2 linked regions of the Oryza sativa Japonica Group genome follow. The main gene of each other region encodes a partner of the protein of the gene in region 2 in a complex. Links are inferred from orthologs where the notes say so. Each region holds a gene or a part of one and is shown on either strand. Other genes may lie near its edges.

The links.
Region 1: photosynthetic NDH subunit of lumenal location 1, chloroplastic (region 2) and photosynthetic NDH subunit of subcomplex B 5, chloroplastic share a complex: the UniProt entries of both Arabidopsis thaliana proteins name them as parts of the chloroplast NDH complex. The link is inferred for Oryza sativa Japonica Group from reciprocal best matches to the Arabidopsis thaliana genes PnsL1 and PnsB5.

What each region holds. Positions count from the first base shown.
Region 1 is NC_089035.1:41,426,965-41,431,235, forward strand, and holds photosynthetic NDH subunit of subcomplex B 5, chloroplastic, read left to right. Parts: upstream 1-1,471; 5' UTR 1,472-2,249; coding exon 2,250-2,531; intron 2,532-2,696; coding exon 2,697-2,751; intron 2,752-2,879; coding exon 2,880-2,948; intron 2,949-3,090; coding exon 3,091-3,149; intron 3,150-3,251; coding exon 3,252-3,488; 3' UTR 3,489-3,832; downstream 3,833-4,271. Other genes in the region: uncharacterized protein, read left to right, coding at 53-124, 202-302, 562-679, 780-839, 932-1,042, 1,225-1,323; serine/threonine-protein kinase-like protein ACR4, read right to left, coding at 4,062-4,271. UniProt on the Arabidopsis thaliana protein: NDH shuttles electrons from NAD(P)H:plastoquinone, via FMN and iron-sulfur (Fe-S) centers, to quinones in the photosynthetic chain and possibly in a chloroplast respiratory chain.
Region 2 is NC_089037.1:9,604,753-9,608,372, forward strand, and holds photosynthetic NDH subunit of lumenal location 1, chloroplastic, read left to right. Parts: upstream 1-1,212; 5' UTR 1,213-1,332; coding exon 1,333-1,374; intron 1,375-1,450; coding exon 1,451-1,547; intron 1,548-1,633; coding exon 1,634-1,717; intron 1,718-1,860; coding exon 1,861-1,934; intron 1,935-2,044; coding exon 2,045-2,167; intron 2,168-2,299; coding exon 2,300-2,371; intron 2,372-2,556; coding exon 2,557-2,653; intron 2,654-2,806; coding exon 2,807-2,916; 3' UTR 2,917-3,120; downstream 3,121-3,620. Other genes in the region: E3 ubiquitin-protein ligase CSU1, read left to right, coding at 29-707. UniProt on the Arabidopsis thaliana protein: NDH shuttles electrons from NAD(P)H:plastoquinone, via FMN and iron-sulfur (Fe-S) centers, to quinones in the photosynthetic chain and possibly in a chloroplast respiratory chain.

The sequences.
Region 1 (4,271 bases), on a different chromosome or scaffold from region 2:
TATTGCTTTCTTCAATTGGACTTATGCTGAAGAGAAATTATGACTGTTGCAGCCTGAGAAGAAAAATCCAAGCCTCACACCAATGGACTGGGTTCAGTTTATTGTTTCTGTTGTCATTGGACTTGTAAGTGGACTGGAACTGGTTGCACTTGATTGGGTTGTGATTCATCACCTGATGATTATTTTTTTCACATTGCTCAGGTTACACTTGTCAGTTCGCTCGAAATGCCTAAAGCTGATTTCTGGGTTGTAGTTGCCGTCCTTTCTGCCCTGGCTGGATATTGTGCCAAGATCTATTTATCGTGAGTGCCTTGGTTGATATATTTGTTTTGATTGGGTATTCGTCTTGTCATCTTGTCGGTAATCTGCATTGTGTATATAATAGAGCAGGGACAGGGAGGATTTTTGTTTACTCATCCAGCCAGAATTACTTTAGAATACCTCCATAAAATGCAGTTTTGCTTCCCTGATTCCTTCAGCATTTTCTTATTTATGATGATACTTTATTTGCTGTATTGGTTGTATTGGACAAATTTGGTAAATAAGCTACCTTTGATTCAGGTTTCAACAGAACATGGCAACATATCAAAACCTAATAACTCAATCAATGTATGACAAACAGCTAGATAGTGGGAAAGGCACACTTCTCCATCTCTGTGATGATGTGATTCAGCAGGAAGTAGGTCTCCATATTGTAGTACTTGATTCAGAATAAGCATATCAGAGACTTGTGCTCACAATTATTTTCATCTTTGTGGTTTCTGAATTCTGATGTCCAGGTCAAGGAGATTATAATTTCCTACTATATTTTGATGGAAAATGGAAAGGCGACTATTGAGGTATTGCTTTGGTATTTGAAACAAGCATGTTTTGTTTCTGAAGTTGTGCAAGTATAAAAATTGAGTTGAATATTCTTGGCACTCAATGCTAGGATCTTGACTTACAATGTGAAGAGTTAATCCAAGAAGAGTTTGGCTTGCAATGCAATTTTGAGGTGATGGATGCTGTTCAGAAGTTAGAGAGGCTTGGCATCATTACAAGAGTGAGTTCTTACAGCTTGTTACAGCAGTACCAAATCATAGTGAGATATATATCCCCAAAAAAAACTTAGATAAATTTCAGAATGTATAGAATCTAAAAGAATTTTTAAATGAAATACCATTATGTTGTTACTCGCATTTTCTCTATTTTAATCATGGATAATAAAGCCAGTGATGCTTGCAGGATTCTATTGGAAGAATATGCTGTCTATCTCTGAAGCGTGCCAATGAGATCATTGGCGCTACTACAGAAGAGCTGGTTATGAAGGCCAGACAAAGCTAGTTATCCAATTCTATTTGAACCAGGTAATCCTTTGGTGGACTCTAGGCTTCCATCATTAGATTGTTTCTGGTTTTTTGGATGGGACATTATATTGTTTCTGGAATACTCCAAGAAGTCCTGACACTGATTTCTTTGCAGTTTAGGGGGGCAATAGGTCCTGGACGGCTGCGGAATAATTCTCCGATGGAAGTTGAGCAGATATGCTATTGTTGTTCTGTTGTAGGACCTGCTGTATTATGCAATGTTTAATGCATGTTGTAAGAAATTTAGTTTCTTCTTGGAACAAAATGTGGAAAGATTTCAGTAAAAAAAAATGTGGAAAGAGGTTCATGAACTGCTGCCTTGTTTGTTCAGTTAATGAATACTCCTACAAGAAATGCAGCAGCCTGCTAACTCAAGGCACAAGAGCCAAGTATGACGCATAAAAAGCATACTGAAGCAGTGAAAAAGCGCTGCTGATGGTGCACTGTATCTCAGCCACTGAATCAGTGACGTCCGACACAGTGACACTGGGTTGCTGGTTCTTTTTCTGCTCTTTTCATTTACAAATCATGTCCTCATGTTGCAGTTGTCTTTTCCTTGTCTCTCCTGATGTGTAAAACACAAGGCTCTGTGCTTGCTGTTGCTAACAATTCAGATTCATCAGAATGCAATAATGTAGTACTAACAAATACTAGTTCTATTCATTCACAAGATTATCATGCATATCTGACCTGATTACTGACTGACTAATGAGGTGATGCAGATTTCTTTCCAGGCATGAAGAAAAAGAAAGAAAAGAGGAAAAAAGCAGCGAAAAATCCTGGACGGTACATGCCCCATACCCATTATCCTCTTGTTTTTGTCTCCTTGCAGCAAAGTATAAGTGCAGCAGCAGCTACCAGCTAAGCAAGAAGCGAGCAGCAGAGCTCAGCGTTTGGAGCGAGATGATGAGCAGCAGCAGCAGCTTGGTGTCCGCCATTTCTGCGTCACCGTCTGCCACTGCAAAAGCTCGCCTTCGTCATGACGATGCAGCAACAGCAACAGGAGCAGCAGCAGCAGCAGCAGTAGCAGCGAGGCAGCTAAAGACGGAGCATGGCGGCTGCTGCTGCTGCCGGAGCAGAGGCCGGGCGGTGGTGGCGAGGGCGGGGCCCGGGCCACTGACGGAGATCGAGCCCGACCTGAACGAGGACCCCATTGATAAGTGGCGCACCAACGGCGTCAGCCCGGTCTGTCCTCCTCGCCGTCGCCGGCCACCGTGTTGAGAATTTCATTATTTTTCTCTATTCCAAGCAGTTTCCATGGTTTCTTTGATTCTTTCTTCAGTGATTGCTGCTGCTGTGCTGTGTTGTCTGAAGAAATGGTTTTGACACTGAAAAGAATCTGCTTTGCAGGACGACTTCGAGTATGGAGTGTATGATGGTCACCACACATATAATGAAACCCAAGGTTCTTTTTCTGGGCTATCTTATCCAGTTATCCATTCCTTGAATCAAAATGCGTAATCATGCTCATGTGTGCTAATTTCTGATTCTTATGTGATATGATGTGGAAAAAAAAATCATTTGACACTGAAGATAAGAAGGGCTTTTGGGAGGATGTCTCTGAGTGGTACCAAGAAGCTGAACCTCCTCAGGGCTTCCAAGGTAGTAACAGCCAAATTCCTTTCTCACTTGGATAAATCAGAGAAAAATCAGATTCTTTCAGATAAATCAGAGAAAAAAAATCAGATCTTTCTTCTCTTAAGACAAGCTTGCTCAATTTGCACTGATGGGCCATCTCTTGCAGCACTGATCTCCTGGTTGTTTCCTCCTGCAATCATCCTTGGCATGGCCTTCAATGTTCCGGTAACATATTGAGCAGTAGTTCCAGCCTACTGACATGTATCACATTTCACAATCTGTCTTGGCTCTTGAGCTCTCTGAATATGTGTCTACTTCTGCCACTAGGGGGAGTACCTCTACATCGGCGCAGCAGTGTTCGTCGTCGTGTTCTGCGTTATCGAGATGGACAAACCGGACAAGCCACACAACTTTGAGCCGGAGATCTACATGATGGAGAGATCGGCTCGCGACAAGCTCATCGCCGACTACAACACCATGGACATCTGGGACTTCAACGAGAAGTACGGCGAGCTCTGGGACTTCACCGTCGACAGAAGAGATGAGATTGTGAAATCGTCTTAGATATGGTATTCAGAAATGGGGGGTCACATTTGTTAGATGCAGCTGCAGAAACAGTTCAGAAAATCAGAACCACTCCAAAGAAAAGCAGGGTGGCAAAGCTGCAAGATGAGTCTCTTCAAAATAAAGAACTTTGAGATGAAATGATGTGTGTATGGATCATCTCATCTACTGTAAGGCCTGCTTTCTATGTCTCTGACAGTCTCAACTCTGAAGTTCTCAGCCAGGTACAAAAGGAGACTGAAAATTCTGTCATGTGTATTTTGTTTTCCCCCCAATGTAATGGAGAAAATCCTGTGAATGACATCACTAATTCAATAGATATATATAGTAGTATAATGGAATAACTTTGGCATCAGCCTCCAATATTATCAATATGTAAAAGAAAAGGAAATATCATTCTTTTCTTGTACAGGAAAAGGAATAAAGGGAACCTCACAGCTGTTCCTTTTTTGTACACTTGAGTTACAGCTGAATCACTATGAAGACCAAAGAAAAGAGAGAGAGAAATAATAAATGGAAAGGGAATTGCTAGTCTATAACTCTGATGATGAGAGGAAACTAGCTAGTTCTTCTTCAACCTGATGTTGTGAAGAGCTGACTACCTAGAGTCACAGTTGGTGTGCTTTCTGGCATGATTGTGGTCATCCTCATCTCTTGCTCGCGAATTCGGTTTATCTCCGCCTCCACCAAGTTCATCGATGGGCGATGCTCGCTCGTCGGGTTCACGCACCACGATGTCAACCGCAGAAATTCTCTCATGCCTTCTGAGGTATAGGCACTGGC
Region 2 (3,620 bases):
TTCTGAGTGTTAATTCTTGTTCTTCCAGCAAACTTGCTGCTCATGAGGCCCAGAAAAAGCTGGAGAAGGAAGAGGAGGATGAGAAGCGTATGCTGCAAAAGTCCAAGGAGTTGGACGCTTTTGATCAGCAGAATCATGGAGCCGTCCCCCAATACCACGATCGCAGCGGCTCTGAAGACAAGAATGGTTTTCATGGAGCAAACAGCGTGAAGGTTACTTCCTTTGAGGAGGAAGCCCTTCGCAACATGAAGGCATTCTGGCTTCCATCAGCTACACCTGAAGCTACTGCCAAAGTAGAAGCTCCCTCCACTGACACAATCTGCCCCGAGGGACAGGAGAAGCTCAAGTTGAAATCGCTCTTCCCTATCTCCTTCACTGAAGAAAACACCGACCAGAAAAACAAGAAGTCGGTGGAGAAGAGCTACATGTGCCCCAGTTGCAAGTCTACCCTAACAAACACCATGTCCCTGGTGACGATCAGCACGTGTGGCCATGTCTTCTGCAAGAAGTGCTCTGACAAGTTCCTTGTAACTGATAAGGTCTGCTTGGTGTGCAACAAACCGTGCAAGGAGAGGAATTTCGTTCCTTTGGAAAAAGGAGGAACTGGATTCGCTGCCCATGATGAGCGTCTAGAGGCGAGAGATTTCAAGCATTTGGGGAGTGGTTCTGGACTGGGTTTAGTGAAACCTGCCCCAAAGAACTACTAGCCTCAAAATATCTTAGCTGCTGTTGTATATTATTTATGTTAACCTGAAAATTTTGTTTCAAGCATCCCCTTTCGCTGTGAACAGTCTGGAGCAAATTCAGTCTTGTTATGCTAGTGGCACTATGGTTGCTAATTGCAGCTTTGCTTATTTGCTATGGCTAAATGCGTTAGTTCGCAGCTGTTGTACTATTTATCTACCAAGTTTGAAGCACAGTCAAAATCATCTTTCTTGTTACATCGAAGCTATCGAATATGTATCGCATGATCTGATGGTAGGATCGTGTGTGTGTGTGTGTACATATATTGTTTTTCAGCCAAAGTCAATGTACAAAAAAAAAGGTAAAAAGAGAATTGGAAAAACATAAAGCTCTCACATATCTCCACCACAATCACAACAGGAACGGATTGGTCCCATTTTGTCAGTCAGTGCTCAGTACGAGACAAGGCCAAAAGTTCTAATGAGGATAATGGAAATGCTGACCTGGCTTCCTTGCCCTCCACTCACACAGACACACAGACTACACTTGAAAAGCGAACGAGCCAGTCCTAGCAGCAAAGGATAACTTGACTGGAGGAAGGCAAGAACACGTATTTTCTTCAGGTTCATAGCTACTCCTGCAGGTGAAATGGCAAGCCTGCAGAATTTGATCTGCTCCGTTTCCAAGCAGGTGTGTGCTTGTGCCCTCTTCTCATCGTTTTCTGAATCTTGTTTATTTCACCACTTTATATCGGTGTTGTTTTCAGTTGGTTGCTCCAAATTGTGCTGTTACCAGCAAGCTGAATGCGTCTCCTCTGTCAGTCGTCAACGCTAGCTCGAGTGAAGCATCCTCGGATGAAAAGAGTAAATTCCTCTCTGTCAGTTCTCTCGATGCATTTTGTTTCTGAAGATTAACATTTTTTTTGGCTGATTATCTCTCCATCTTACAGATGTGACAAGGAGGAGATTAGCTCTGCTTGGTGCTGGAGCATTAGCCACTGGTCTGCTAAAGAGCAGCTCTGCATATGCTGAAGGCATGGCCATCTGAACTGTCGCATGGTTTTATTTCAGTACTAGGTTGTCTGCATGTTACATACAAGTTCCCACTTCTCAAGTAGCCATTAAGCCTTTATGGCACCATGAGATGATACTAACTCGGATTGTTCCTATATTCCAGAAGTGCCAAAGAATTACAAGTCTTATGTGGATTCAAAAGATGGATATTCATACCTGTATCCAGCTGATTGGAGGGTAGGTTGCAATATTTTCGTCTTGAAGAACAGAGATGTCAGTTCCAATGACTGTGTTTTCGGTGGTACATGGTATTGATGTATGCCCTTTGTTTTGATGTGTCACTTCAGGATTTCGACTTCCTGGGGCATGATTCAGCGTTCAAAGATCGTAATGTAGCGCTGCAGTGCGTGCGTGTGGGCTTCATTCCTACTACAAAAACAGATATCCGTGACCTTGGTCCAATGGATGAGGTAGGATTTCATGCGATATCTGATAATATCTTTCTTGGTAATGTAAAGGAATCAGGCAATTTTTTTAGCCTTTTCTTTTGTTATACATCATAGATTTTTTTTATTCTGACAATTTACATACTCCTCTATCAGGCGATCTTCAATTTGGTGAACAATGTTTATGCTGCTCCAAATCAAATACCAACTGTCTATGACATGCAAGAGGTTTGCCATTTATCCATCTCCTTCAATCAATACTATTTAGCCATATGATCTATCTGAGTATACCAAACTGTCGCTGCATTGCTCTTTCGCTGATTAATTTACGTCTGATCTCATTGGAATGGCTATAACAAAGACTGCAACAACTCTGCAAGCAAAATAAGCAACTGAGTTGTTGTGATTCGCAGCGCACCGTGGATGGCAAGAACTACTGGACATTTGAGTACGATCTTGAGGCCCCGGGCTACGGCGTGTCCGCATTTGCGACGGTTGCCATTGGAAACGGTATGATATTGATATGATGCCTCCTCACCACAAGATCGCAGAGATATATATCATCATCATCTATTAAATTGTATATTTCATCATGCATGTATTTTTTTTTCCTCTCATAAGAAGAAGCTGGTTAACCTGATGGCAATGGCAATGGCATGGCAGGTCGGTACTACACACTGATCGTGACGGCGAACGAGCGGCGATGGAGTAGGCTGAGGAACAGGCTCAAAGTCGTCGCCGACTCCTTCAAGCTGTCCGACCTCACCGCGTGATGGGAGGCAGTTCAATTGCAGAAATATCTTTTATTTTATTGCTTCGTAGTCATGTAGATACATACATACATACAGACGCTGATCTACCACTAGAAAAAGTGCTGGATCGAACACCCTGGCTCAGCTTCCAGGAAAAAGGATGCATAATTACCTTATAGACTTCAATTAATTAATTGTGTGTATGCTATTAGAGCTATTTTTCTATTATAGCCATCTAATTATGTTGATTGAATCGGTTCAACCATCAGTTGCAACTTGCAAGCGACGAGTAGCCATCAGTTAAAAAGGCAGACCATTAGGCCATAGTCTCCGGAGCCAAGGACTTAACAGATCAACAGCGTTTCTATACAGACGTGTGCACGATCAAACCAATACATTACAGAGGCGAAAGGAATCAAGTACACAGGCCTCAGAAAGAATGTTTGCAACTCATATATTACAACAATTACAATGCCCTCCAAACTTGCTAACTATTTCCAGAATAAGTTCCCCTCCAAACCCGCTAACTATTTCCAGAATAAGTTCCTAGAGTTTCAACAAAGCTAGTCATCTGAATCTTCAGACTAAAATTTTGTTGTCAAGACCAGGTCACCATTCCGCTCATTCAGAGCAGCGCCAGCGACACCTAACATTTTTCCTCCGACAAAACGGTAAGCCACAGAACCATGACCCCTGGCTGAACAGAGCGAAAAGGAACTTGATCA